Notamacropus eugenii: one gene and its partner. The protein of the gene in region 2 purifies or fractionates together with the protein of the main gene of each other region. This does not show direct contact. Links are inferred from orthologs where the notes say so. Each region holds a gene or a part of one and is shown on either strand. Other genes may lie near its edges.

Region 1 (15,823 bases), on a different chromosome or scaffold from region 2:
CACTTCCCCACCTCACAGTCAGTAAAAACTCCAATGGATCCCTATTACCTATCAAATATAAACTCCTACTTGGCATTTAAAACTCTTCACATCCTAGCTCCTTCCTAACTTTGAAATCGACACCCACATTACTCTCCTTCACAATCTCCACAATCCAGCCAGACTGGTTTATTTGCTATTCCTCATACATAAGACTCTATTTCCCATCTCTGCATCTTTGAACTAACTGCCTTCCCACCAGACCTCCATCTCTTGGAATCCCTCATTTCCTTCAAGATTCAGCTGAAGCACCACCTTTTGCATGCGCTCTTTCTTGGTCCTAGTGCCTTCCCCTCCAAAGTTACCTCGTATTCCATAAGTGTACGCTCATATGTTTATACTGTACTCTCACTAGAATGTAAACTGCTTGAAGGCCAGGATTGTCTTCTTTTTGTCTTTATGTTTTCAGCACTTAGCATAGTGCCTGACATATAGTACATGCTTGCTGACTGAATCCTAACTCTTTTTGGGGCCTAACAAATAATATGGAAGGTTTTCATTACTAGCATTCTACATCCTATTCAATCCCTGCTTCCCTGGCATAACAGAACGCAATTCTCCTGGGTAAATGATATCCTTACATTGCTAAGATATTAATGCTCTAGAAATTATACTAAACAAACTGTTAAGGCATCAGATAGTGGCAAGAAATGCAGGAATGATAGCAGGACCTAACCTTATATAAAGAAGAGGTTTCACCACCCTTAAACATTATCAGCACTTACTCTTACAAACTACTCTGCAAACTAGTTCAAGAAATAAGACTGAAGGATACTTGACAAATTATTAGAGATAGACAAGATGCTGAAGAAAACATAAAAGTTCGTTTTTAAAGTCTGGTTTTAAATAAGACTTCAAAGGGCACAATGTCAAAAGTTCCTGTCAGCTAGAGTCTTCTAATAGTTTCACTCACTGATCTCTAGACAAGGACTAACCGTGCCCCATCTCGGTCTGGGCGTAGGTGCCAATTATCTGGAGTCCTTGGGATGGAGACAGCCATTTCTGTTGCTGAGCAGTGGTGCCCTGATTCAGCAAGGTAGGGATAAACATGGAGTAATTGAGGCCAACCGGTTCCACAAAATTGATCAGAGATAGTCTACAGGAGAGAAAAGAAAAGGATCTCAGCCTTACTCTAGTAGTACTGCCTAAAAAGATTTTTTCCTACATACCAACCTTCTCTTCAAATAGTTCTCACCCATGAGGTCATAAAGGTTTCACCCTTTATCTTTCAATTTAGTAGCAATATTTTCCATACAAACCACATTCATTATCTTACAATCTAATAAACCTGCAATTGAAACTCCTGGTCTATGGTCTCTGGTAGTTCTGCTCTTAGCATAGTTAATAATTCAGATGAGATTTCCTCTTAAAACTGCTTTTGATTAGTTTCTGAAAGTAAATCCTTCCTATGACAGTAACTGAAAAAAGCATTTTCATAGAAGACCAAAAGAAATCCCTCCATAGCGTTCATCGGTTTTTGGCTAACAACTCTTTTTAGCCTTTCTCTGCCTAGGAAACTAAAGGCAGTCATGAGAATACACACAGTCTGGGGGTAAAGTATGTTCACTGTTTTTCTGTTGTTCAGTCGTGTGGGACTCTTTATGACCCCATTGGGGTTTACTTGGCAAAGACATTGGTGTGGTGATGAGGGAAGTGAGGCAAACAGGGTGAAGTGACTTGCCCAGGGTCACACAGATAATGTCTGAGGCCACATGTCAACTCAGAAAGATGAGTCTTCCTGACTCCATGTCTTACGCTTGTCTATATACACTGTATCACCTAGCTGCCCATAAAGTGTATTAGGACACAAAAATTCTGAGTGAGGTAAATATCTCAAAAGTCTATCCTCAGTGATCTTGGCATTAAACACTAACATAATAAAATTACTTATGTCTAACTGGAAACTAAATCACAATCAAATTCATTTCAACTTAATCCACATACAAAATCAGTTCTGAACATAGAAACAAATCACATAAACCCATCAACCTTTGTTATAGAATACTAATACTAAAAATAATACAGTAAATATACTGTCAATCTCCAATACATTTAAAGAATTAAATAAAACTGAAGAAATGTTCTTTACAGTGTCTCTTGAATAAAGAAAAAGAAATGATTATTCCTATTTTGAGGATTTGTTGAAGGAAAAAGAGCTCAGATGGGCTTACTGTTCATAGAAAGGCATCAAACCACCCCCATTATTAAGGAAGTATAGGTCATCATTCTTCCTTATTTCTTCAAGAGAAGCAATTCTAAAGGACTTAGAAATGAAGGGAATTTAGATTGACTTCAACCCTCTCAATTTCAAGGTAAAGAAGCCAGGTAAAGTTTAGAGACCTGCCTAAGGTCACACAGAGTAAAGCAAAATTAAGATTCAAACAGTCATCTGACTCCAAACCCAGTGCTCATTTCACTTTACTTACTTTTTCTATCTCAATAATACGACAATCTCAATCACTTGAGCAAACTTCTACACTAATTCTATATTCCTTAATCCCAATAATCGAAATGGATTTAACCCAAGTTACAGATGTCTGGCTGAAGAACTGAATTCTGGATGCCAAATCCTGTTTTTGTGCCAACAAAACAATACAATGAGTTCCTTATTATAATGCACTAATTAAAAATGCCTGAACACCACCAAAGATCGAACATGATTTGTGGGAAAGGAAAGGAGTTAGTTCATTACCAAAGTTATTTGGGTTAACAACAGCATAATTTAGCATTACATAATCTTAAAATTGAAAGAGATCCTAGAGATCATCTAGCCTACCTTCTTCAACATCATAAATATGAGAACTCAAGCCCAGAGATAAAATTACTTCCCCAAGATTGCCACAAGTAATTAAGTTCCAGAGCTGTGACAAACCTGTCTTCTGATGTCAAATTCAGTGTCTTTTCCCCATCTGGTCACTCATTTCACCAACAGCACTTAAACACCAAAATCTCACTGACAAAAATGATTTCATAAATCAATCTCAAAAACAAAAGGATTCTAATACCTAATGACATCAAGTCTTACAAGAATTTGTAATTCCTAAATCACTCTCCAAAAAAATCTAGGCAAGAATGTAAATCTGAGAGGAATCCTCACAAATAAAGAGTAATAACTTAAATTAAAAGAATAGTAGCCTTTGTTTGAAATGCTGATCACAGTTCTTCATGAAGAAACAACATATGTAAAATAATTCCTTTGGGATTTCTAGAATTAATGATGACATAATGACAAATGAATAAGGCATCTATACATCTGCATGTAAAAACGCATGACATCTAAAATGAAAACAGCTACCTATTCAAAATCCTAATATCAGGACTAGAAATTCACTGGTACTTCTCAACTACCACTCTAAAATGAAACTCAAAAGACAAATTCAATTTATACTTAAGAGGAAAAAGAAAAACCACAACCACACAAGTTTAAATATATCAAACTAGAAAACTGAGTTTCAGTGACTGTTTTCTTTGCACAGCAGAAAAAATGAAATTGTTTTTCTAATGTTCCCCATATGATAAAGTCTATTTTGTCAAGTGATGGTTCAGAAAGCCCTTATTCTTCAACATGACCATTTGAAAATAATTTACAAATATTCATTCTGCACATGTAGTGTTCTTATAAAGCAGAATATTCTAATATGAAGAGAAATTAATATTAAAAAAAACAGTAGTTGACTGGTTCAACACCCTTCAAGAATGGAATTATTGTTTGACAAAATTTCTTATTTCAATAAATGATGATCAAATACCTGACAAATATCATCAAGATCATTTTTAAAAAATATCTTTTAATATTTAAAGTGAAACATGATATACAGGAAAAACAGTATTTCCTACCAAATGGGGAACTTTGTTCTGTTTCATTATGACTTCACTTGAGTCTGGTTATCTATTATATTCACAATTACAAGGAATAAATCTCTTTCAAGACTGTTTGGATACCCCACCTTTCACTTGAAAAAAATGTAAGTCAGGCTCTCCAGAAGTATCTAACTTGTCATTTTAAAATGTCTCCTTATAAATGGGGGTTAATAATATTTTGTAAAATTTACCATCACAATTGACTCAAAACCAAAATGTGATTTACTAGAGATACTCTTCTTCAATATCTCCATAGACACAAGGCATACAAACTATCAAAATAGGAGCATTTAAAAGTATGTGAGTAGTACTCCAAGTTGGATTATCTAGAAAAGTTCAAATTTTAGTAATAGTGAAAAGATCCCTGGATAGATTATTTTGTAAATATTAAACATATCACACATTAAACATTATAAATAGCACAAGATTTATTTTTAATGGAAAATTCACAGGAAAAGAGTTTACTAGAACTTCAAATCACTTCTAAAAACTAAATTATCTCACTTTAATATGCCATCTGATAAAGCTGTATAGTGTAACCCACTCAAAAAAAAAAACCTATGAAGTCCATTTGGGATTAAATTCTGCTGAACTCCTATTTTATTTTTAATTTTCTGACTGAATGGTTTTAAAGAAGCATATGACTTCTGACATATCTCAAACTAGATGTAAATGAAAGGACTTCAGTATGTAATTTTTTCTTTGCTTAAATTCTGCCAAAGGTATATAAATGTGTAAGATTTTACTATTTCAACTTCAATGTTTTCTGCTGGGAGTAAAGTTTGACATTATCACAATTTTTATTATGGCTTCTTTAGAATGTCTTCAAGGTGGAGTGTGATGTGGTAAAAGAACATTCGTGGAATTCAGTAGATCTGCCACATACACCTAGGCACTGAACCAAGATCAAGGGTGCCTAGGTATGCAAGGACATTGTAGGAGGAGCTTTGCTCCTGGTCTTTCCAGGACAGAATCAGAATGGTCACTTTAGGGTGTGTCTGCCATATGTGGCCTATGCTTTATGCTTGCTCCTGTGCCATAAATTTATGTGACTCTGACATGCCATCCTAGATATACCATGAGGCTGGCTGATTTGGGGCAAGTCACTTGATCTTTCTCAATCTGTTTTCCTACTTGTCAAATAAGAGAGCTGAGTAAAATGATCTCCATGGTCTCTTCCAACTCTAAAGTTCTGTCAGTCCATAGGTTCTCCACTTTGCTCCCATAGAAGATTTTTCAGCTGTCTGTCCTGTTCCTCATGGTCTTTACTAGGCCACAGGAACTATAAGAATAACACAAGATGTAAAAAATAAAGATGTACAAGGACATCTTAAAGTAACTAATCAATATAGTTATTACAAAAAGGAGAACTTAACTACACTTTATATTTCCATCAGTTTTTTTTAAAACATGGATTGTCTAGGGCATAAATAATTTGATTGTTCAAAAATATTTATTGCTATGAAAGGGAAAATTTATTGAGTATAAGACACTCAAAACCAAATAAACCACCACATATTATTAAGTCAGAGCACTATTTATCCAGAATGTAAAAGAAAACATTAAAACTGTTTTATTTCTTAAAAAAAACCAAAAAACAAAACCCAGAACACCCACACACAAAACAAAGGGGTTCCAACAGCAAAGTATATGTTTGGCACCTATCAGCAATTCAGATTTTGTTTAGGGCCTACACAGAAAATGAATTCCATTTACATAACCACCAACTCACTATTGATTAGAGAGATGCAAAACAAAACAACTCTGAGGTACCACATCACATCTGTAAGATTGGCAAACATGACAGAACAAGAAAATGATAAATGCTGGAGAGGATGTGGGAGAGTTGGAACATTAATTCATTGTTGGTGGAGCTGCAAGCTCATCCAACCATTCTGGAGAGCGGTTTGGAACTATGCCCAAAGGGCTACAAAAATGTGCATACCTTTGACCCAGCAATATCGCTACTAGGACTGTATCCCCAAGAGATCATAAAAATGGGAAAGGGTCCCACATGTACAAAAATATTTATAGCAGCACTCTTTGTAGTTGCCAAAAACTGGAAGTCAAGGGGATGCCCATCAATTGGGGAATGGCTGAATAAATTATGGTATATGAATGTTAACGGAGTACTATTGCTCGGTAAGAAATGATGAACAAGAAGACTTCAGGGAGGCCTGGAAGGACTTATATGATCTGATGCTGAGCAAAAGGAGCAGAACCAGGAGAACTTTGTGCACAGCAATGACCACAGTGTACAAGAGTTTTTTCTGGTAGACTTGGAACTTCGTAATAATGCAAGAACTTATGAAAAAAAAAAATCCCAATGGTGGTTTTCTAAGGCAAAATGCCTTCCACACTCAGAGAAAGAAATATGGAATTCATTCGCAGAATGTAGCAGATCATGTTTGTGTGTGTGTGTGTGTTTTTGTGTATCATGTTTTGATTTGTTATATGATTTCTTCCATTTGTTTTAGTTTGTCTACATAGCATGACTATAGTGAAAATGTACTCAATAGGAAAGTATATGTAGAACCTATACAGAACTGTATGCTGTTGTGGGGATGGAGGGGGTAGTGGGGGGTAGATGTGGGGGGGATAAAATCTTAATTTTATGGTAGTGATTGTAGGACATTAAAAAAAAAAAATAAGAATAAAAATAAATAAATAAATAACCACCAACTGTAAGTGTTCAATTCTTAGAACACTTTCCATCAATTCTATTTGAACACATCAGTTGTTGGTTTTCCTATCAATACACTTTTTTCATGATTTCTGACAAGAGTAATTTATTACAGTTAAAAAGGCTTATATGCCACATCCTACACCAAGACAAAAATAAAAACTTCACATTTCAGTTTTTCAAGAATGTTCTTGCTACCATTTTCTGGGCTCACTACAAGAAATCTCCCCAAATTTTCAAAGCACGGGAGGTCTTTCTGAGGGACTTAAATCTCTAAAAAACAAGAAGTTGTGACCAAAGTGTACCTTCAAATAGCAGGTACCTGAGAGTAAGAAATAAAAAATCTGTATCGATGGACAATTCTCCAAAATTCCATGCTAAAGCAAAATCAAAGGCTGCAGAATTCATAATCCAACCACCTTTTCCTTAAAGATAGGGAAGGATAAGGCCCCTGGACACTAAGTGATCTAAGATCCATAGATGAGAGTGTGTCACAGGCAGGATGGGAACCTAGGACTGTCATTCCAGTTGTTCCACAATGCCTCTTTTATGATGCCTCTGAAGAATAATATAATGCAAAGTTGGGAAAAAAACTTTCGTTTTGGCCTTCCACCTATCCATTATTTATATTGACCCAGCAGACTACAAGCTACCTTTTAAAATTAGTTAACATTAATCCATAGAGAACAAGGTTTTAACCTGGTATCTATGAATTTAAAAGCACAATTTTGATACCTACTTCACCAGAATTGGCTTCCTTTTTAATCCTAAATTTAATTTAATTCTATGCTTTGAAAGACATTCTTCTGCTACTGCCAGAGCATATGACACCAAAAAAGGTTACAACTCTGACCCAGAAGATTAAGAACTAGAAAGGCATATATCCAAGAAGCCATCATACACCATGGCCTAGATAAGTTGGGAATGAGAAAAGCGCAGATCCCAGGAGCGGTTCAAGCTCTGGGACCTCTACTGCTGGCACACTTACTTTTTAAACCACATGATCTCTTCGGGGTCAGCTATGCCAAAGTCTCGCATCTTCTTCACCATCGTGGCACTCTTTTTGACAGCCATCTCGTAGCGCTGGCTCCGGGTAAGGAAATTCAGGTCTTCATGCTTAAAGTCCGGGTCACTCAGGATCATATTCTCTGCAGTTTGGAGGGAAGGGGGGAGACACAACATTCAGAAACCCGTTACCATCTGCGAGGAGCGTTTTTAAATTCAGGGAACAAAAAGGAAGGTTCTTCAAGAGGCCACGGTTTATGGGGGATTCCACACACCAACAACTACGCACGGACACAGACCATCAGCAGAGGAACTGAGGGGGGCTGCCAGCACAAGACGGGATTTGGGCCGAGCTCGAGGAAGGCAGCAGCCGATTACAGGGAGGGGTCCCCGAGTCCTGGAGGGCCTGAGCTCACCCCCAGCCCCTGCAGCCCCCGGAGCCAGCCCGGCCGCTCTCACCGATCTCCCGGCGCCGCCGGGTCCTCTCGGGGCCTCCATCCAGGACGTAAGTGAGTTTCTCCGTATCAAAGCTGGCGGAGTCCCGCTCCCTGCGCAAGTCTGGGTTCATGGTGAGGGCGGTGATAGGGCACCAGGTGACGGCGATCAGACGTCCGCGGCTCGGGCAGCCTGCTCACTCCCTTCTAGGGTTGCTGAGTCTCGGGCCCAGATCTAAGCAGGGCCCTAAGACAGGCAGCACCGCCCCGAGTCCGCCCTCGCCCTGGGCACGTAACCGCGGCCCTGTGCTCAAGGGGCCGAGAGACCTTCGCCCAGCGAGAGCGGAGCTCCGCCCGCGCCCGAGGAGGGCGGGGACAAGGCTGGGCCACCGCCCGTTCGCTCGAGGTGTGGAAGCCGGGCTGTGGGCGGAACGTGGGGCAAAGGGCGCCGCCGCATCTCGGCTCTGCCGCGCAGGCCCGGGCGTGCGGCCTGGCGTCAGCCTGCCTTCCGGCTCCCGCCTCGGACGGCTTCGCTCCCGTCACGTGATGTACCCTCGTTCACGTGGGGAAAATTGTTACTTTTCTCTCCCCTCACCGCGGAAGGCTACGACTGTGGGGACCTTGGGACAGGTGCGTGAGGTCAATGGGACGGGGGCGGGGGAGGGACACGGGACAAAGGGAGAGAGCAGCCCTGCGCCTGCGCCTCGGAGCCTCGGTCCGACTTCCTCCCCACCCCCACCCCCGCACCCGGAAGTCCAAGGACAAAGGCGTGCCCGGAGGTCGGGGAGAAACTGACCTTCCCCCCTGGAAAGCTCGGGCTCCCCTGGTACTCTTCTCTCGCCACAGGAAGAAATTTTAGCTCCGGAGTCATATATATACATATATATATATTTTTTTAATGAGTAGTGCTGTGAATTTTCTGGGTGCCCAAAAGTATTGAAATCCCCCTTTTCACCTCGAACTCCTCGATTCCTTCGTGACTCAGGCCTGGTAACTCGTTGTGCCAGAAGCCCTTCCAGACGCCCCTCAGAGCTGGCGCCCCCCCGCTCCGAGATGACGCCCATTTCCCCCTTAGTTACCTTGTAGATGTGTACGCCTATGGGGTGTGCGTCCTCCGCCTCTTCCGAGCGTGAGCATGTTGGAGGCAGGGACTGTCTTCTGCCTTTGTTTGTACCCCCAGGACTTAGGTCTGTACCTATCGCCGTAATCAGTGATTCTTTGAGGACTTCGTGTCATCCTGCACATGTGTGTTAGACACGGAGAACAAGGTTAGACAGACTTAGAGCTGGCTTCAAATCTCCGTGCTGCAATCAGTTGTGTGTGGGATCTTGGGCAGCAGGGGCCCTTAGGAAACTGACAACCAAGCCAGGTGTGAAAGGCGGGCCTGATTGGCAACATGCCTAGCGCTAAAGGAAACAGGTTACAAGGCAGTTGGGAAATATTTACCAAAATACGAAGAAAGATAATAGTAAGGTGGGTTTTCTAACTCAATTATTCCCCTTCAGGGATCTTTATGTATTGTTTAGTGCCTCTGGATGACTTTTAAGGTACCTTTGAGTTCTAAGAGAATAATCCTATGATCGTAGAGATGATCTAATACTGTGCCCTCATCTTGCAGAAGAAAAACATGGATTCCAAACGGTGGAGCCAGAAAGCTACATCTTATAACTCTGAATTCATATGTTTCTCTCTTGAACATATTGCCTCCTAAACATTCTTGTAAAGGTTATCAGAGGCAGCTGATGGTATAGTGGAGCATGGAATCAGGAAGATACAAGAGTTCACATTCAACCTCAGACCTAGTTCTGTGACACTGGACAAGTCACTTTCTTCAACTGTAAAATGATGATGGGAATAGTACCTACCTCACAAGGTAAAAATCAAATAAGATCTTTATGAAGATAAAATGAGATAGTATTTGTAAAAAAAAAAAAAAAAAGCTCTTAGCACAGTATCTGACATTTTCCCTCCCTAAATCTCTGACCCAGCCTTAAGGTGTCTACATGTACAAAACTGCTAAGTGAAAGTGAGACATGAAATAAAGCTGCTTCTGTTGAGCAACAGAAGAATTTTAGATGACTGTCATAAAGAGGGTAATGAAAAGGCACGTGTAAATGAGAGCAGGCTGTAACAATAACTAAGGCCATCAAGGAACTGTGTGAGAGAAAAAGATGGTTGATCAGTGACAAGAAGGAGGCATGGGCCAGCTAGCTTGTTTCACTGGCACCCTTGAATTCAATGTCAAGAGAAAATGTGGAACACCTCCAGGAGGACCTTTTGTGATGAATTTATGGGAGGACATGAAGGATGGGCAGGCATTGACAAGATGTGAACTGAATCCTTGGAATTCCCTAATTAACGAGATATAGATTCATTTGAGTACTTGAGAAAGTACATATACAAAGGCGTTGGGGATACAAGGCTCCTGGACCCTGCTCTCAAGATAGAGCTAGAAGAGCTTAGAAATCATACAGGGCAACACCTTAATTTTATGTATGAGGGAACAGACCATAAGAATTGAAGGGACTTGCATAAAGTCATGGAAAGTAAGAGTAGGGCTTGAACGCCAAGTCTTTGACTCCAAATCCAATGTGTTTTGCATTATACTATGTTATTTCTTTCAGTCTAATAATGGCAGGAAAGATGTGTCCAAATGATCATGATGCAAATGGGAGTGGGATAAGTACAATCTGTTCAAAATATTATGAGAAATTTGAGTATAAATTTGACAATCTAAGTGAGATAGATAAATATTTTTTTAAAAATTTTGAGAAAAAATGGATTACTTTCAACTCAGGGAGGCAAGGAAATCTTTATTTAAGAAGTAGCAAAGGAATTAGGTTTTGAATGATGGCAGTGACTCCAAAAAAATTAAGATGGGGTGGGAGTACATTCTAGAAATCAGGGATATGTGAGCATTACAGACCAAGAATGGAAGATGTAGTCTAATTTGTGGGCATATACCCAAAGAACTAAAAGACAGAAGTAAAGGTCTAGTATATACCAGAATATTTACAACAGAGCTCTTTGTGGTGTAGAGACCTGAAGACAGTGAGTGACCACTAGATTGGAAAGGCTGAACAAAGAAAGCTATGGCATATAAATACCATGGAAAACTATTTATAGTAAGAAATGATAGATATGAGGAATTCAGACAAAATGGAAGGGAAGATTTGTATGAACTGGTACAGAGTGAATGACAGAAGTAAACCAAAAGAAAAAAAAACCCAGTGTAAACAATGGCTGCTATAATATTAATGAAAATATCACTAAGAGAAGATAGAACTTTACCTGAAAAACCAATAAAGGTTTTCAGAAACAGATAATGAAACCTAATATCTCACCACAAAGAAGCAGGAAACTGGTAGGACAAAACATTTTATAGATTGGCAGATATGGCCTCCCATTTTATGTGGTTTTGCGTAGTTGTTCTTTGTTATAAGAAAGTTTTTGTTTTGGAGGAGAAAAATTGAAATGATGATGTAAAGGGAAAAGAAAGTAATCTAGCTGGAATGTACAGTACATCAAGGGAAGTAGATGAAAGAAGACTAGAAAGGTGGATTGGAGCCAGTTTCTGTAAGGCCTTAAATAGCATGATAAAGAATTTATACCTTTATTCAGTATGCAGTAGGGAACACTTAAGGTTTGTGATTTAAGAGACAGCAGGAGGATGAGGAGCCAATAAAAGACTGTCAGAGAGCATGGAATAGTTTGCCTGTCGGATCTGTGAATAAGGGAAGAGTTTAGGTCCAAACAAGAGATGGAGAGCATTATAAGACATAAAATGGATAATTTTGATTACATTAAATTAGAAAGAGTTTTGCACAAACAAAATCAAAACAGCCAAGATTAGAAGGAAATCAGAAAACTGAAGAAAAAATGTTTGATCTAGGAATCAGGAGACCTGAATTCTTATCCTGACTGCTACTTCCAGGATAGTACAGTGCCCTTCTCCAGTTTTGGCTCTAGGTTGGTTGATTGGTTTTTTCTGTCTATATACGATACCTAGGGTTTCTTACTGCTCTTAGCATTCTACGTTTTAATTACGTCAGTTGAAGCCAGTAATAAGAACCTACATTTATGTAAGGCTTTAATGTTTACAAAGAACTCATGTAATTTATTATCATCAATTAATTCAGCAGATTTAATATCTTCATGACATAATGCTATGGGAATTGGAATAGTCATTATTTCCATTTTCAAGTGGAAAAATTAGGCCTCAGAATGTTTAAGTGGCATCCAGAGTAACATGTAATTAAGGGAGGGAGAGTCAGGATAGTGGAGTCAGCAAGACCTGAGTTCAAATGGGCCTCAAACACTCAACTACTTGTGAGACCCTGGTCAAGTCACTTTGCCTGAGTTTGCCTCAGCTTCTTCATCTGTAAAATGGAGATAATAATAGATCTAACTTTGAAAGATTGTTGTGAGGCTCAAATGAGACATATTTTTTTAAAATTTAGTATTTTATTTTTCCCCAGTTACATGTAAAAACAACTGTTAATATTCATTTTAAAAACTTTGAGTTCCAAATTTTCTCCCTTTTTTCCTCCCTAAGTCCCCCTCATTAAGAAGGCAAACAATTCAATGCAGGTTATACATGTGTAGGCAGGCAAAACATATCCATATTAGTCATATTGCGAAAGAAAACAGAGACAAAAACAAATTCAAGAAAAATAAAGTAAAAAAGTATGATTCCATCTGTATTCAGATGCCATCAGTTCTTCTTTGGGGATGGATAGCATTTTTCATCCTAAGTCCTTCAGGGTTGTCTTGGATTGTTGTATTGCTGAGAATAGCTAGGTTATTCACAGCTGATCTTCTTATGTTATTACTGTTACTTTGTACACTGTACGTTTCACTTTGTATCAGCCCATACAAGTCTTTCCAGGTTTTTCTGAGAGCGTCCTGGTCATCATTTCTTATAGTACAGTAGTGTTCCATCATCATCACCTGTCACAGCTTGTTCAGCCATTCCCCAATTGATGGGCATTCTCTTAATTTCTAATTCTTTGCCCCCAGAAAAGAGCTGCTCTCAATATTTTTGTACATATAGGTCCTTTTCCTTTTTGTTTTTGTATCTCTTTTGGGATACAGACCTAGTAGTGGTATTGCTAGGTCAAAGGGTCTGCATGGCTTTAGACTTTTGGGCATAGTTCAGATGAGATATTATTTGAAAAGTGCATAGCACAATGCCTGGCACATATTAGGCAGCTATATAACTGTTAGATTTTTTTTATTTCCCTCATCTTAATCCAGTGTTCTTTCCCACCACCCCACCGTTGGGGAAATATTATTGTCAGATATAGTAAACTGGTTAAAGAACCGGGTTGTTGTTGTTTTTTTAAGTCACAGCAGAAATAGTCCTTTTATTTATTTAGTTGAACTCAGTTATTTGGTATTTATGAGGAATTTGTGATTATCCTGACATGGTTGGTATTCCTTATTTCTACTGAATGGACAGCACAAAGTAGAGGCATCACTAAGATTTATGTTTAGGATTCATTATATAATGGAGCTCTACTATGAAGTGAAATTTTTAGTCAGATTTCCTCAGTTTATGTTATCAGAACTTTTCTTGTATGAATAGCAAATGCTGCCTTCACAAATTCTTTCCTTGATTCCTCTAGTTTGTAACAGCCTTCTACCTGCATTTAGGGAAGCTGGATTTTGAATCAGTTTCTTATCCCTGATACAAATGGCATGACTATGGGCTTATCAGTTAACCTCTGAACCTCAATTTCCTTACTTATAAAATGGAGATTTTGAAATGTATCACGGTGGCTGACCTTAGAGTCAGGAAGATCAGGCTTCTGAAAAACAAGAATTTTGACCCCCAGGACCTCTCAATACACCAGGCAAGCCTGTGATGGTCCTCTTCCAAATGAAGGATGAACCACATCACCACCCTGGACAACTGTGTAAGTTGACAAATTACAGAGTTGCTGATCTACATTGAAGATCCAACTATCCCTACACTGATGAAATCAGATCTGCACCTTTGTCTTTAGGACTTGCGTTACCGGGTTGTTACAAAAGAGGAAATAATACGATGCAGAGTGCTTTACAAACCTTTAAGCAATATGTAAATGTCAGTTATGATGATGATTGATTGATAACAGTCCTCCTCTTAGATTCTAAGCATAGGGTGAGTGTGATCAGACTTTCCAGAATTGTCTATCTTAGCACTTGGCCCAGCACAGAGTAGGCCTTTAATAAATACCTATTGAGGAAAGTGATGTGTTGGAGAAGATGTGGGAAAATTGGAACACTATAATGCGTTGTTGGTGGAATTGTGAATGGATCCAATCATTCTGGAGAACAACTTGGAACTATGCCTAAAGGGCTATAAAACTGTGCATCCAGCAATCCTTTGATCCAGCAATACCACTTCTAGGTTTGTATCCCAAAGAGATCATAAAAATGGGAAAAGGACCCACATGTACAAAAATATTTATAGCAGCTCTTTTTTTGATGATCAAGAATTGGAAGTCCAAGGGATGCCCATCAATTGGGGAATGGCTGAACAAGTTGTGTTATATGAATGTAATGGAATGCTACTGTTCCATAAAAAATGATGAGCAGGTAGACTTCAGAAAAACCTGGAAGGACTTTCATGAACTGTTGCAGGGTGAAATAAGCAGAACCAGGGAAACATTGTACACAGTAACAGCAAGATTGTGGAATGACTAACTTTGATAGACTTAGCTCTTTTCAATAATGCAATGGTCCAAGGAAATTCCAGAAGACTCAATGATGGAAAATGCTCTCCACCTCCAGAGAAGGAACCATGGAATCTCAATGCATATCATACTATTTTTCCTTTTTGTTTTTTTGTTTTTTTCTTTCTTGTGATTTTTCCCTTTGATTCTGATTCTTCTTTACAACATGACTAATGTGCAAATAAATAAGTAAATACCTGAACAAAGGAATGATTATACAAGTAGTGCCCAAAATTGTCTTTTATTAAAACATATTTAGAATTTGAACTTTTCAAAATGAGTGATATTTTACTGGATTTTCAAAGATATTCTTTAAATTACTATCTTAATATCCTTGAATGCCATATTGGCAAAGTGGATAGAGAGCTGGCTTCCTTCAGAGCCAGGAAAACCTGGTTTCAGGTTTCAGGCCTGAAAAAGGGAGAGATTCTCTCAGCTGAGATGGCTCTCTTCTCTCTACACCTGTCATTAAGCCTAGCCTGCCAACTTCTCTGACAACTTCAGAACTGATCCTTCCTCAAAAACCTAGTTACACAGGCCTCCTTAATCTTACTCTCTCCCAGCTTTCATATACGATCAAGTAGCAAGTCATGTTGTTCCTATTCTGGCAACAGAGCCATGACTAGCAATTTTTGCACTCAGGACAAACATTGCATAAGCACAACCTAAATTCCCTTGTGGGAGTAGAGGGCAGGAGCTACCTAGGCATGGTATTGAGTTTAGCTGTTTACATACTGCTCAACTGCTATCAATGACTGGGTACAAAGCCCCAACCCTACTTTGTTCTCCGCCTAGAAATATTTCTTGATCTCTTCCCACTTTTTCATTTCCCTGTAATAACCCCACTTTGGGCTTTCATTATCTATCATTTGGATACCAATGCACAACTTAGATTACACCATCCCTACTGCATACTGAATAAACATAAATTCTTTATCATGCTATTTAAGGCCCTCTGGAATCTGGCTCTAGTTCACTTTTCTAGTCTTCTTTAATCTACTTCCCTTGATGTACTCTACATTCCAGCTAGATTACTTTCTTTTCCCTTTATATCATCATTTCAATGTTTCTCCTCCAAAACG
Region 2 (15,377 bases):
GAGATGGGATTAGTGCACACGTGCAAGGGTATTTTCCAGATCGCCATCTTCTGCAGGCTGGTTGCCCACATACCTAAAGTCTAAACAAGGTTTTAAAATGGGGTCACTCAGAGTAACTCTGCACAAGTAGCTGACTTTGTACAATCCCCTCTTTAGTGCTAACCATACTCACAGTATAGCACCAAATCAGACCTAATATTGATCCTCTATCAATTATATTATGTTAATCTCTGCCACTTATACTTTGGGAGTCAATTTGGGAATCAGTTCTTTGCACCAAAGGAGGCATTGTAAACACAAACATGCAATCCCTATAAGAACACACAAGAGAAAACCCACAACTTTAGTCATGAGAGATTTGGAAGCCAAGAGGTTAGCCATTCCCATGAGAATCAGGGTTTCTTCCTATCCTCCTGGAATCTGTCCCAGGAATTCCAAATCTAATTCATTTGGGTACAGATATCGTCAAAGTTGTCAGGAACTCCAGGTGCAGCACTCCCGACCTATGAGAGTTTATACCCTTCTCTCTACCAGCAGGATTCTAGAGCTAGCATATTTTGTAAGGCCACAGTCCTAAGAGCACGTACCTCAGTATTAAGAGTCTCTGCTGGGCCTATGGTTTCATTAACAAATACTTGTAAAAATTTATTGACTTTATTCAAGAGCACCAGTCTGCATCCGGTTCCATACATGGGTAATAGGATGGAAAAGATGCATTCAGTCTCATTCGCTAATGGGGAAAACATAGCAGAAACTTGGATGGCAATACACTTGATTCTTTAGTGTGTGCTAGGAGGCAGGGTAGGTGTGGGCTGAAGGCCAGAAAGCACTGCCCCAGTTCACACCTGCCCATCCAATTTGAGGAGAGCCAGTAATAAGCTTTCTTGTTACACAGAAAATAAAACCTCTGCAGGGGTATCCTGAAAAATCCGCTTGTTTGCGCCAGGTCTCCTGGCTTAAGAAAAATTCTCAGAAGGCCTTTTCTGTCCTGAATGGTCATATTTTGTTTCAGGGATAGGGCATAATTATAACCCGTTTGCTGTGCCATTTCCTGACCTTGTGTCTCATTTTGCTCATAACATAGGACTGGTAGGCTGACAATATGTTGCAAGTTCAAGGGGAAGGGGAAGGCTGATTGAGAATTGTGAAACACTAGTGATCTTTTCCCAACTGAAAGTGAATGAGTGGGAGGACTCATTTTTCTAGCCCTCAGCAGTACATTGATATTGTACCTAAGTTTGCCTTATTGATTGAAAAATAATAATCATACAAGTTCTAGATGTCTGCTCCCACGTCCACCAGAAACATCTCCTCCCCCAGAGACAAAAGGGCATGTGCACATATCCAGCAGCTGGTCTAGTTAAAAGCATGCCTGGCATGTTGGTTCAGATGCACATAAGTGTTAGCTTTTCCTGTTCTCCCAAACCCATCGGTGCAAAGCAAGGCATAAAGTGCAAACAACAAATGCCCAATAGACAGGTTACGGGTGAAGGATAAGGTCATCATTATCAGGGACAAATACACATGTGGCCAAAGACCACTGTGTGCTATTGGGATCTCTTTTTAGCCCAGTTGGGTCTAGGGACTATTCAGAGGTTGTGCCCTTTGCTGGGCTCAGATCAATTATGACAGGCTTCACATGGGAGCGATGTAGCCAAGTTGTCCACTTGACAGCCTTGAGGGCAGTATTAGTGGTCAGCAGGATTTGGAGAAGCCTCTACCCAATGGCTCAATTAATCACTGGACAACAAAATATATCTGTAGTCCGTAGAGTCTGGAGGTTTAATAACGTCAATCTGTAGGTTTTCAATGGTAGGGGCAATAAATAAAGTCAGTCTGCAGGTGTTTAAATGGTAGGGTCACCTATTTTCTCTCCTGCCTCCTTTTGTTATAGTTCTCTTTTGTGAGGAGTTAAACTGCTGACAAGAAAGTTAATTAGAGGCCACATGATAGGCCTTTCATCAATGCAAACTGTGACTGGCAAAGTTGCAGTACAAGGGCCTCAGTTCCTAAACTGGAATCAGTCCAAGCAGAAATGATAAGGAGCTTACAGAAAAGTTAACAGGTCCATAACACACACAACATTAACAAAATAAGCAAAATTATAACAGGGTGAATAAAGAAATCCATATAGCTACAGCTTTAGGGGGTCAAGTCCTTCGGTAGTGTCCAAGATGTTCAGGAGTCTGGCGAGTACCTCCTATGCATCTCTCAAACAGCTGTGTATGGGTCAAGGCAGGTTGGTGGAGGTATTTCTGGACCGTCACCTCCTGCAGGTTGGCTGCACATATACCCAAAGTCTAAACAAGGTTTTAAAATGAGGTCAACTCAAACTGACTGCACAAATAGCTGACTTTGCACATAAGACATGTATACAGATACCCATAAATGCAATTTAAAAAGTGCTAAGTGCTATAAGTACACAAAATGCTATTCAGAGAAATTAATTCTGGCTGGCCAGGGTTGACAATGGAAGTCAGGAATACCTCTCTCCCTGTCATAGTCCACTAATCAACACTAACCTATGTAAAAGAAAATGGAATATTACTCTGAAATATTAAAATTATGGAATTCTCTATTTGGTTCATCCACTGTCTTTGCAAATTTTTCTTGAATTTATTATCTGTCTGGATGTGGGTATTCTTTTTAATCACTGACCTTTTGGAATTGTGGCTTACCATTGCATTGATCATTGTTGTTAAGTCTTTCAAAGTTAGTTTTCTTTAGAAAGTAGTTATTGTATAAATTGTTCTCTAAGTTCTGCTCACTTCATTTGGTATTAATTCATATAAATCTTCTTAGAAATTTCTGAAACCATCCCTTTTACCATTTCATATGATACAGTAATATTCCATTGCATACACACATATATATATCTGTGTATACAGATATATATACATATACATACATATACGTATGCATGGACGTATGTATATGACCATAATTTGTTCAGCCCAATTGATGGGCATCTCCTCTTTTTTAGTTCTTTGCCACAAAGAACTGCTATAAAAATTTGTATACATATGAGGGTACTTTTATTTTTTCTTTGAACTCTCTGAGAAATATATCCAGTGTTATTTCTGGATAATAATAATAGGTAGCATTTTCTATAAGTACTTTAAGTTTTGCATAACTCTTTAGTTCACAAATACTATTTATTAGTTTACAAATATTATCTCACTTTATTCTCACTATAACCTTGGGATGTAAGTGCTACATGATGTCATTGATCCTTTCCAAGAATGAAGGATGAACAACAACAATCCCCATTTTATAGATGAGGAAGACAGAGGCTAGGTGATTTGTCAAGGGTCATATTTGTTGTTGTACAGTTCTGTCTCACTCTTTGTGACCCCATGGATCATAGTGCACCAGGCCCTTCTATCCTCCATTACCTTTTGAAGTCTGTCCAAGTTCATGCTTCTTGTTTTCATGATACTATCTATCCATCTCATCCTGTGCCATCCCCCTTTTCTTTTGCCTTCAATCTTTCCCAACATCAGGGTCTTTTCCAATGAGTCCTGTCTTCTCATTATATGGCCAAAGTATTTGAGTTTCAGCTTTAGTATTTGACCTTCAAGTGAATAATCTGAATTAATTTCTTTTAAGTATTAACAGATTTGATTGCCTTGTTGTCCAGGGGACTCCCAAAAGTCTTCTCCAGCACCACAATTTGAAAATGTCGATTCTATGGTGCTTACCTTTCTTATAGTCCAGCTCTTACATTCATATGCTACTACTGGAGAAACTACAAGGACCTTTGTCTACATGGTATTTGTCTTTGCTGATGCGGACTTTTGTTGGCAAGGTGATGTGTTTGCTTTTTAGCATGCTGTCCAGATTTGCCATAACATGCTTCCAAGGAGCAAGTATCTTAATTTCACAGCTGTGGTTGCTGTCTGTAGTGATCTCTGACCCTAAGAATATAAAATCTGATTCTTCTTCTTCTTCCTTCTTCTTTTCTTCTTCTTCTCCTCCTTCTCCTTCTTCTCCTCCTCCTCCTTTTTTCTTGTCTCCCTATTTGCCAAGAAATGGTGGGACTAGTTGCCAAGATCTTGTTTTTTTAGATGTTAAGTTTCAAGCCAGCTTTTACACTCTCTTCTTTCTCCCTCATCAAAAAATTTCTTAATTTCTCTTCACTTTCTGCCATCACAGTGGCATTGTCAGCATATCTGAGACTGTTGCTAGTTCTCCCAAAGACCTTAATTTCAGTTTTTGGTTCATCCAGCCTGACATTTCACATATTGTATTACATATAAGGTGATAATATACAAACTTAAACTCCTTTTCCAATCTTAAACCAATCAATTGTTCCACGTTCATGTCTAACTGTTGCTTCTTAGACTGTATACAGATTCCTTAGGAGACAAGGTCCTCTTTGAGGACCTGTCATATTTTGTTGTGATCTGCACAAAGGATTTAGTGTAGTCAATGAAGCAGAAGTTGATGTTTTTCTGGAATTCCCTTGTTTTCTTCATAATCCAGCAACTGTTGGCAATTTGGTCTCTAGTTCCTCTGCCTCTTTGAAAACTATCCTGCTCTTCCAGTAATTCTTTGTTCACCTAGCTTGTAGAATTTTAACTATAACCTTACTGACTAGTGACATGAGTGCAGCCCTTCTGTAATTTGGCATTGTCGTTTTTTAGGATTGGGATGTAAGCTGATCTTTTTCAATCCAGAGACCACTATCCTGTTTCCCAAATTTGCTGGCATATCAAGCATAACACTTTAACAGCATCATCTTTTAGTGTTTTAAATAGCTTAGCTGGAATTCCATCACTTTCATTAGCTGTATTGTTGTATTTGACTTCATGCTCCAGGACTCTGACTCTAGATCAGTAATCTCACCATCTTGGTTATTAGCGATGCTAAGATCTTTCTTATATAGTTCTTTCATGTATTCTTTCCACTTCTTAATTTCTTCTGCTTCTATTAAATCTCTACCATTTTTGTCTTTCATCATGCCCATCTGTGTGTGAAATTTTCCCTTGATGTCTCTAATTTTCTTAAAGAGATTTCTTATCCTTCCCAGTCTTGTTTACTTTTATTTCTCTGTATTGTTTCTTATCTCTCCTTGCTATTCTCTGGAATTCTTCATTCAGTTGGGTATATTTTCCTCTTTCTGAAGAGTCATAACCACTAGTTAAATGTCTAAAACAGGACTTTAACTCAAGTCTTCCTGACTCCAGGTCCAGCACTCTATTCACCGTACAATTTTGTGACTTTTGGGGTATATTTCCAAATCTACATATTTCCCTATCTTTTCCCATTGTTCCCCTGATCCCACTCTGATACTGCCTATGAGATTTAGAGCAAATCCTTTATCTTTCTAAGCCTCAATTTCATTATTTGTGAAATGGGGGGATTGTGTTAGGTGGACTCAAGCTCCCTTGCAACTGTAGAGTTATTTCTCTAGCATGTGGAGACATTAGGAATACTTGTTACAGAAATCAAATGAAATTTAATAGGGATGATATAAAATCTTACAGTTGGATTTTTAAAAAATCAACTGCACAAGTACAAGATGGTAGGGGGGATGAAGGTGGACTCTGGTATATGATTAAGGAGTAATAATTCCTGTAAAATTGGCCTAGAGGGTTTAGAAGACTCAAGTCAGTAATTTAACATGGTAGTCAGAAAAGCTAGTAGGGCCTCAGACTACATTAACATAAATATAGTTTCCAGAAAGGGGTCATACAGTGGTCATTTGAAAAAACTAGGGACTTTTAGGAGAGAAAAGCAACTTCACTGGAGGTGGGGGTGGAGTTTGTGTAGCGTAACAGCACATTTGGAAATGTAATGGGTCTTTTTTTTTGGTCCTAGACTAAAAATAGGAGCAACTTGACATGAAGAAAAGCTTTCTAAAAATTAGAGATGAGTAGGATGAGAAGACATGGGTTCTCCATTACTGTAGGTGTCTGAGCAGAATTGTGATGACTATTTATCATTGACATTGTAGAGGGTATTTAGTTCTTCTTAGGCATTGTTGGACTAGATGACCAAGAAAGAACAATGAATTTGGAGAGAATCTGCATTAGAATGCAGACTCAGCTAGTTACCCTCTTTGTGACCTTAGGAAAGTTATCTAAATTCTTTGGCTCTGTTTTCCTCATCTGTAAATGAAGTAGATGGACTAGTTGATCTCTGAGGTGGGCTTTGCTATATCCAGAGTGCCATCTACCACCTTCATCTTCTGAACTCCACTATAGGTTTAGTAAACTCAGACAGACAAAACTCCCAGATACTTTCCTCCCCCCCTTCCCCCCATGAATTTCCCCCCAAAACCACAAGGTTATCTTAGAATATAGGTATATTCTTGATCATTAGGTCCTGTGGGCCTAATTATTGCTATCTTCTGATAGCTGGGGAACATCACTTGTCCATCTTGTGATTTCTTACTCTCCTCCCTTTTCCTTGGTGCCTCTGTTCTGCTCCCTGGAGAGAGCCTAGGTTTGATGGTGGTTGGAGGCCTGATAATAATACAATATTTTTGCTGAGTTTCCCTTACCAAGATTATGGAGATGTCTTAACACATCCATAACCCTTTGCTGCTGGGAACAAAGAGAATAAACCACTAGAAGCCTTAACTGAAAACAAGAAAGCAGCAAAAGATAAAGTGGGCCAAGGGAAGAAAGAAGGCAATATTGCAGCATGAGAGAGAACTAAGGCTGACACTATTGCCCTGAGGCTCACAGGATTTCTAGGGGGGCTAATAGACCTTAGACATCATCTAGTCCAGAGGTTAACCTTTTTTAGTGTGTGTCATGGACCCCTTTCCCCTTGCTTGGAATGCTCTCCCTTCTCATCTCTGCCACCCGGTATCCTTCAAATCTCAGCTAAAACCCCACCTCTAGAAACCAGCCTTTCTTGGTTCTCCTTAATGCTAGTGGTGTCCTCTCTCTGAAATTACCTCCAACTTAACTTACCCTGTACCTATCTGAAGAAAAAATTTTGTATTTTTCAGAGATCAAAAATCCACCTTCTCCTTCTCAACTTGGAAAATTAAAAACAAAGCCCTCGTAACAAGTCTGCAGTGTAGCAAAACAAATAAACCATTGGCCGGTCCCCCAAAGTGTCTCAATCTGCATCCTTGTAAATATCTCCTACGTACATATCATCTCACTCATTATAATGGGAGCAAGGCACTGTGGGTAACAACTGGGGTTTGGCCCTTCTTTGTCCCAGCCTTGTGATTCCGAGCAAGTGGCTCAATCTGTCTCCCTCGGTGTTCTCATCTGCAGATTATCCGATAAAAGCACACACACAGCATCAGAAGAGGAAACACGTGGCAACTCCTCAATCTGTAAAGTGCTCGTCATTATTAATAATAATCATCTCCAGCCCCCGGCACTGTGCTTGGGAGCACAGCAGCCAGTTGCAGGTGGTGCCCGGATATTTCCGACGCTGCCTGTGTGACCCTGGGCAAGTCCTTTGATTCCTGTGTTTTCAGTTGCTGCGGCTGTACGATGAGGATGAGAACAGTACTAACCTCTTAGGAACCTCAGCTGAGAAAACGTAGGCAAAGGGCTACATAAAGGCACTCCGGGGCAGTTAGGTGGTGCGGGTTCCCCGCCTCATTTCACGCCAGTCCCAGGTGTAGGATCCCGGGGGTGTGGGCTGGTGAGGTCCCCACTCAAGCTGACCACTCAGCAGCATCTCAAGCATAAACCACAAGCCCTTTATGACTCTTGCACAAGCAGACCGGAGGAGGGGAAGCGTTCTGCAGAAGCAGAGGCCGGGTTAGGTAGCGGAAGAGCACCAAGACCCCTCAGCCTTTTGGCCAAGAGCCTCAGCCAGCAGTCTCTATTTCAGAAGTAGGGAATGGGAGTCAGGGAAACCGGAGGCAGGGGCGAGGGCCGGTTTCACAGCTTCAAGTGTCCCCACGTCATAGCCTGTCTGCTTCACTTTAGCCTTGGGTCCCCACACTCTCGGCCAAGGCACTTCAGTCTGCCTCGGTTTCTTCCACCGTCAAACCGCTCGAGCCCCCCGCGCTGTTGCCAGGGTCCAGTGCTAGAAACCTAGGGGCTCCCTTCTCAGAAGGTTGTTTAAACGCATGAAAGGAAATAAACATGAGTGCAAAGGAGACTGACTGCTTGAAAATATAGTCATCGATGGAAAAAAAAAAGTCCGTGGACGGCGGGGTGAGAAGCCCCGCTGTGAGTGCAGGCACATGTTTTACAGAGGAGGAGACTGAGGCCCGGCCCGAGGCCCGCCCATGCGGCGCTCCGGGGCGTTCAGGGCCGATCTCCGCTCCCGGGAAGGCCAGAGGGTTGGCACAGACGGCCTCGCCAGTCGGGGTGGAGGAAGTCCGGGATCCTGCCCAGCAGTCCGCGGGGCGGAGGCGCCCAAGGCCTGTTTCGCAGCACAGGCCGTAACTAACGCTAAGCGCAGGGAAGGGCGGGCGCTGATACCGGAAGGCCTATGCTCGCAGGGCGGGGAGTGGGGGGAGAAGGGGGAACGGGTCTCCGCTCCGCGGGCCGAGGCCTCCCCTTTAAGGGGCCGCCCCCTTTAAGAAACCGGCCTTGTCCGCGCCCACTCCGCGGCCCCTTTAAGCGCGCGCCCCGCGGGGCCCCGCCCCTTCCTCCCCACCCCCCCCCTTCTTACTCCGAGCTTGGTTCCTTTAAGCGCGCGCCCGCTTGGGGGACCGCGCGCCCGCTTGGGGGACCCCGCCCCTCCTCCTCCTCTTCCCCCTAGCCCGCTCCTCTTTCCACCCTCGGCCGGCTCCCGCCCCCGCCCCCGCCCCCGCCCCGCAGCCGCACCCCCGCGCCCGCCCCGCAGCCGCACCCCCGCGCCCGGAGCAGGTCTGGCGGCCGGCGCGTGGAGGTGAGCGCGGGGGGCCGAGGGGAGCCCGCTCCAGCCCTTTCCCTGTCCTCGCGGGACCCCGGGGGCGGGGCTGGAGCCGGGGGCGGAGGCAGGAGGGGGGGCCCCCTCGTGGCAGACCGCGGGACAGGGGAGCGAGACCAGGTGGGGGTACCACGGGCGGAGGGGGCGGGGGAGGAGCAGGCTGGGGTCCCGGTCCAGCCCCAGGGCTCCCAGCCTGCCCTGCCTCGGCGATGTCCCGGGCTTGGTGTCCCCCGGGCTCTGGAGCCTTCCGGGGATATAACGGGGCCTGCTGACCTCTGTCCTCTGACCCCCGACCAGCCCCCCGCGAGCTGCGGATGGGGCGCTCCCCTCCGCCCCGGTCCCCGAGCCTGGGCAGCACCGCCTTCCCAGGGTGGGAGGGCGGGTGGAGGCTGTGGGGAGAGAGCAGGTCCCCCAGCTTGCTATGATACAGAGAGGATCTCCCTTTTCTCCCCACCACCCTAGGGCTGGAGTTGGGGTAGGGGTCCCCTCCGAGGACCGTGCTGAGCGGAGAACGCGGGGCTGCCCGCCACAAGGCCTGCGGTCATCATGGCAATGCGGGAGTTGGTGGAGGCAGAGTGCGGTGGGGCTAACCCCCTCATGAAGCTGGCAGGTCACTTCACCCAGGACAAAGCCTTGCAGCAGGAAGGGCTGCACCCTGGCCCCTGGCCCCCGGGAGCCCCAGCCCCCGAAGCGGTGAGTCTTCGGGAAGGGGGCACGGGAGGGAGGGGAGGCGGAATGTGGGCACCCCTCTGACCGCCCCCTCTTGCCTCTCTCCTAGGTCTCCAAACCTCTGGGAGTGGCTTCCGAAAATGAGGTAAACATGCACGTCTCCTTCCTGCTACCTCTTCTCTTGTCTCCTTGCCCCAGTGGGAAGAGCGCTGGAGTTACAGGACCTGAGTTCAGATTCTGTCTTTGCCACTTACTACCTTTGTGACCTTGGGCCTCTGGGCCCGCTGTCCTCAGCTGCAAATGAGGGATTTGGAGTAGGTGACCTCTGAGATCCTTTGTGACTCTCAAGCTGTCATTCTGTGATACCTTGTTGCCTCTAAGTCTCATTCCCCTTCTTTTCCTTCCCTGGCCTGACGTGCTTTGGCTCCCTCTCTTATCCTTTTGCATGCTTCTCACTGGAGTTTCCCGTTTTCTTTGTTTCTGTAGTTTCCACGTTCTTTTCTCTCACCTGTGGTCTTTGTATGCTCTAGTTTGCAGGCTTCTCTGTCTTCCCAATCAAGTTTTCCTATTGCTTCTTAATGGTGTCTTTCCTGACAGTTGGTGGCTGAATTCCTTCAGGACCAGAATGTCCCACTTGTGTCCCGGGCTCCCCAGACCTTCAAGATGGATGATTTGTTGGCAGAAATGCAAGAAATTGAACAGTCTAGCTTCCGCCAGGCTCCCCAGAGAGGTAGATCCATGGCCCAGTGGGAGGGAAGATGGCCAATTTTTGTGCCATTTTGGGAGACCCCTTACTAAGGGCTGGTCATTGGCAAGAAGACTTGGAGGTAACGGAAGAGACAGGATGTGGTACTATCAGTTGAACTCAACTTGAGTTGCTGAGCTTTGTTTTTGTTTTTTGATTTTTTTTTTCATTTTTTATTCATCTCTTTCTCTTAGCCCCAGGTGTGGCTGACCTGGCACTATCTGAGAACTGGGCTGAAGAGTTCCTGGCAGCTGGAGATGCAGTGGACGTAGCTCAGGATTACAATGAGGCTGACTGGTCTCAGGAATTCATAACTGAAGTTACAGGTGAGGCTTTAAATGAGGGAGTCTGTAACCCCCTTCAATGAAGCAGTCAGATTCATTTCTCCTCCCTTTTCTCCCCATTCCTCCCCAATCAGGATATAATGCAGTTTCAACAACTTGATCCTTAGGTCCACTGGCTCAATTTTATAGGCAGATGGGCCTTTGACTTCCATGTAGGCCAGGGGTTCTTAAGCTGTTCTTAAGGTTCTTAACCTTAACAGACCCTGGACTGTGTTTTTTTAAAAAATACTTTGATAACTGTATTTTAAAAAATAATTTTAAAATAGAGTTTAATTACTTTCATTTTTTCAATTAACAAGCTTTTAAAAAAATCAATCTGTCTCTCCTAACACTGTCGCTACATTGATTAAAAAAATTTTAAAGCCCTCAATACATAGCCTACATAGTCCAGCAAAGCAAATTGCTACATTTACCATGCCCAAAAAGGTATGTCATACTGTGCCATCTTAAGTTCATCACTTCTGTATTGGTGAATAGCTTCTTCATCCACATTCTTTGGAACTAATCTTTTATCATTGCATTGACCTTTCAAAATTGTTTTTCTTTATGGTGTTATTTAATAAATTATTCTATTTCTGCTCATCTCACTCAACATTAGTTCACAGCGTCTTCCCAGTTTCTTCTGAAAGTGTTAGTTTCATCATTTCTTATGGCACCGTAATATTTCATTCATTCATATCCCATAATTTGTTTAGCCATTCCTCAATAGGAGGATACCCCCTTAGTTTTCAATTTGTGGATATCATAAGATCTGCCCTTTTTTTAAAAAAAAAAATCGTTTTGTTGGGGTTTAGGCCTAGTAACGGTATAGCCTGGTCAAAGGGCATGCACAGTTTGGTAACTTTCTGGGCATAATTCCAAATTGCTTTCCAGAACAGTTGGACCAATTCACAGCTCAAGCAACAGGGTAAAAAGTACAAAAAGTATACTTTTTCCCAGAGCCCTTCTAACATTTGTCATTTTACTCTTTTGTCATCGTTATTAGTCTTACAGGTATGAGGGAATCTCAGAAGTACTTTAATTTACATTAAATTCTTAGGGACTTAGAGCATTTCTTCATATAATTGTTGGGAACTTGGGTTTCTTTTTGAAATTTCCTGTTCATATCCTTTGACCATTTATGTAATGGGAAATGGCTGTTAGTCTTACAAACTTGAATCAATTTCTTATGTATCTTGGATATGAGACCTTTATCAGAGAAACTTGCTGCAGAGATTTTTTTCCCCCACTTACATATTTCCTTTCTACATTAGATATGTTTATGTAAAAAACTTTTTAATTTTACTTAATCAAAATTGTCCATTTTATCTTGTGTGATCCTCTTTAATACTTATTTCATTCATGAACTCTTGCCCATAGATCCTTGCTCCTCTAATTTGTTTATGATGTGACTTTTTATATCTAGGTCAGGTTTCTGTATGGAGCATATCTTGGTGTTTGGTGTGCAGTGTTGGTCTAAACCTAATTTCTACCAAGCTTCTGTCCAGTTTTCCCAGCAGTTTTTGTCAAATAGTGAGTTCTTCTCCCAACAGTTGGGGTCTTTGGGTTTATCAGTGTACTACTGTGTTTGTTTGCTTCTTTATGTTGTGTGTCTAATCTGTCCCACTGATAGACCTCTCTCCTTTTTTTTTGACCAGTACAAAATCTTTCTAATGATTACTGCTTTATAGTAGTTTGAAATCTGATACTGATGACCCCATCCCCAACCTTCCCACTTTTTTTCATTTATTTGAGATGATTGCATTTTTGTTCTTCCATATGAATTTCATTATTATTTTAATGAAATATTCTATGAAATGTAAAATATTCTAATAGGTCTATAAATATTCTTTTGAGAATTTGAGTAGTACAAAAAATGAATTTAGATAGTATTTTCATTTTTATCATGTTGCTTTGACCTACTCATGAGCAATTAATGTTTCTCCAATTATTTAGGTCTGTCATTATTTCTGTAAAGAGTATTTTATAGTTAGGATAACTATTTTAAAGAGACATGTATGTTATGCATTTAAAAACATTATCCTAAGAAGGGGTTTATAAGCTTGCCAGAAGAGTACATGGCACAAAAAAGGTTAAGAATCTTTGATTTATATGATGGCAGGGAAGTGAAACTGGTTTTGGACCAAGAAAACTGGTTTGTATTGGTGTCTGATAAGGTAATGATTCATTGCTCTTTGGGGGTCAACCATAAACTAGGGTTGTAGAGAGCTAGATATTGGTCACCATTCTAGAACCTCATCACTGTAGTCTTCTCACACAGAGAAGTCAGGAGTGGTTAGCCATCTCTAGTTAAGGTTATGAGCTTATAGCTTGTCTTGGCTGTGTTGCCTAGTCACTTTGATCATGTTTTGGGCCCCTGACAGCTTGAGATAGGAAGCTCCCTAGGATCAGGGTAGTGACATGAAAGCCCTGGGCATTCTTAATTTATCTTCTGAAGTTTGATCAGTATGGAAGACTGTCTGTCGCCTCTGTTCTTTCCCCTGGTGCTTGGTGGTACAGCAACAGAGGAGAGATTTCTCGAATAGTGTAGTAGCACAGAAAGTTCCTATTTTGCTTTTGCCCTTTGGGAGAGCCAAGGGATTTGTAGAAGTAGGTGCTGGGGTTCTGTTGTTAAAGTTACCACAGCTGCCCTCTAATTTTAGGTCATGAGGATGTGACCAGAAGGCCCTCTTCTGCCCGTTGTTGGTTTTTTTTGTTTCACATATCTGTGAGGTTGTTGTTTTCTTTTGAAAGGATCAGAATTTGATTGGCAGCAAGTCATCTGGAAAAATAAAAGCTCCACAAAAAATGCTACCTGTGCTGGTATGGGAAACCTTTTCTAGGACTTTCTGCCATTTTCTGTCAAATTTCTGATATTCCCTTTTCCTCATTTGGGGAAAAAACTCCAGTCTTGAGACTCAGTTAAGCCAGATTACCTGAGAACATTTGTAGATGAAGCTGGAGAGGAGACAGCAAATAGAAGTGCTGGTGAACTGCCTGGATTTGGATTCTGCCACCTCAGGACTAGATACAATATATGAGCATTGGTTAAAAAGGGTTAAGAAGAACTGGAGCTAGGCTAATTCATACAAAAAGATCTGGGTGGTACTGATCCCATTTAAAATATTTTCAGCAGTTGATTCAAGATACGTAAAGAAGGGAAGATGCTAAAAGAAGAGAAAAGATGGTAGAGCAAGGTGATTCCCTTATTGATCCAATAATATTCCAAAAGACCGTGTCAAATGCTATTCCGTGTTTTTAAGCTTTGTTTGATATTGACACTCAGCAGATAACAAGTCATATGTTCACCAAAAGCCTTTGCCAGTGTCATGGAAGATGACCTTTGATGGACTCTAAATAAAAGAGAGATTTGATGGGGTGGTTTTCCTAAATATTTCTATTTGTGAATGATGTTATGCTGGTTGCATTGAATGCCCTTGGGGACTCGTCACTCTGATGCCAAGTGAATAAAGACTTTAAAACAAATAGAAAAAGACAGTACTATAATACAGAAGTCAACCAAGGAGACTTTTTAAGGATTACGTAAATATCATTTACCTGGACTGTAGCATACAGTTGGATGAACAACCTGTTGAATTACTCTAAGGATATGCATATCCTGGGTCAACACTGCAGGTGGATAGTGACCTGAATCCAGAATTGGCACCAGGTGAAGATTAGGCTGAATTGAATTTGACTATGCATACAGCACTTTTCAATACTCCTACCTTGCCTCAAAAGTCCATCTTTTTACTAACACCAGTTTTTTCTTGGTGATACTATTTGGCTACGAATAGAAGAATACCTTGATCTGGAGAGAATCACGGTTACAGAGCTAGTAGATGTAAGCCACCTGCAGCACGTGAGAAGCGATGCAAAAGACACATGTATGACACAGTGAAGGAGGTAAGCCAGGTATAAGAATGAGCAAAAATAAATGGACAATATATAGAAATGAATGGGAAAGGAAGCAAAGATCTTCAGTGTGATGTTTGGACAAGATTATAAGCATCTCAACCTATTCAGCTATAAGTTATGGAATATAGATATTTACTTATGTTTATGGGGATCACTAAACAAGGGTTGGAGGCAATCACAAGAGAAAATTGATAATTCTGATTACATGAAATTGCAGGCTTTTTGTAAGAAAAGAATTAATACAGCTAGGATAAGAAGGAAAGTGATTGATCTTTGTATCAACTGTTTGTAACAAGGATCTGGTTCAGAACATATAAGGAGGTAATAGAAATATATAAGGTCAGAAGTTATTCCTCTTTGTATAAATAGTCAAAGGATATAAGCAAATAGCTGTCAGAAGAACAGAGCTGACTTTTTTACAAAGGATAGTGTGACATAGTAAAGAGAGAACTGACCTTGCAATCAGAAAGACATGGGGTTTTGTCCTGCCTTTGACACATACTTGGCTGCATTATTCTGGGCAAGTCACTGACCCTCTTAGTGCTCTAGTTACCTCTTGAAGACTAAATTGTTGAGAAGGTGCTGATCTGCATTGGTAGAGGAAGTTTCCTCAGAAAATTCTCTGTGCCACTTAAATCACAGATCTAGTCCCTGTCCTTATGACCTTTACTTAATATTCAGGTTACATGCGTCTTTTGAACTTCATGTGGCATACAGTAGAATGTGTTGGTGTTTCCCTTTTTTGCTGCAACAAAGAGTGCTGCTTGTATGTTTTGGTATACATTGGAGCTTTCCTCTACGAAGTTCCTACTCGTATGCCTACTCAAGGAGGTAGCCCAGGATTTCTGAAGGCTATGCCATCAGAGTATGGATCTCTG

Evidence for each region.
Region 1: the proteins of PEX5 (region 2) and ACOX1 purify together in Homo sapiens (affinity purification with mass spectrometry; 3 studies listed by BioGRID, with this or other methods). This does not show direct contact. The link is inferred for Notamacropus eugenii from reciprocal best matches to the Homo sapiens genes PEX5 and ACOX1.

What each region holds. Positions count from the first base shown.
Region 1 is NC_092873.1:342,209,550-342,225,372, forward strand, and holds the start of ACOX1 (peroxisomal acyl-coenzyme A oxidase 1), read right to left. Parts: upstream 8,157-15,823; coding exon 8,048-8,156; intron 7,732-8,047; coding exon 7,572-7,731; intron 1,136-7,571; coding exon of another isoform or gene 975-1,135; intron 1-974. Other genes in the region: CST complex subunit TEN1, read left to right, coding at 8,155-8,652, 9,641-9,733. UniProt on the Homo sapiens protein: Involved in the initial and rate-limiting step of peroxisomal beta-oxidation of straight-chain saturated and unsaturated very-long-chain fatty acids.
Region 2 is NC_092874.1:195,637,669-195,653,045, forward strand, and holds the start of PEX5 (peroxisomal biogenesis factor 5), read left to right. Parts: upstream 1-8,723; 5' UTR 8,724-8,823; intron 8,824-9,306; 5' UTR 9,307-9,390; coding exon 9,391-9,537; intron 9,538-9,622; coding exon 9,623-9,658; intron 9,659-10,110; coding exon 10,111-10,243; intron 10,244-10,452; coding exon 10,453-10,584; intron 10,585-15,377.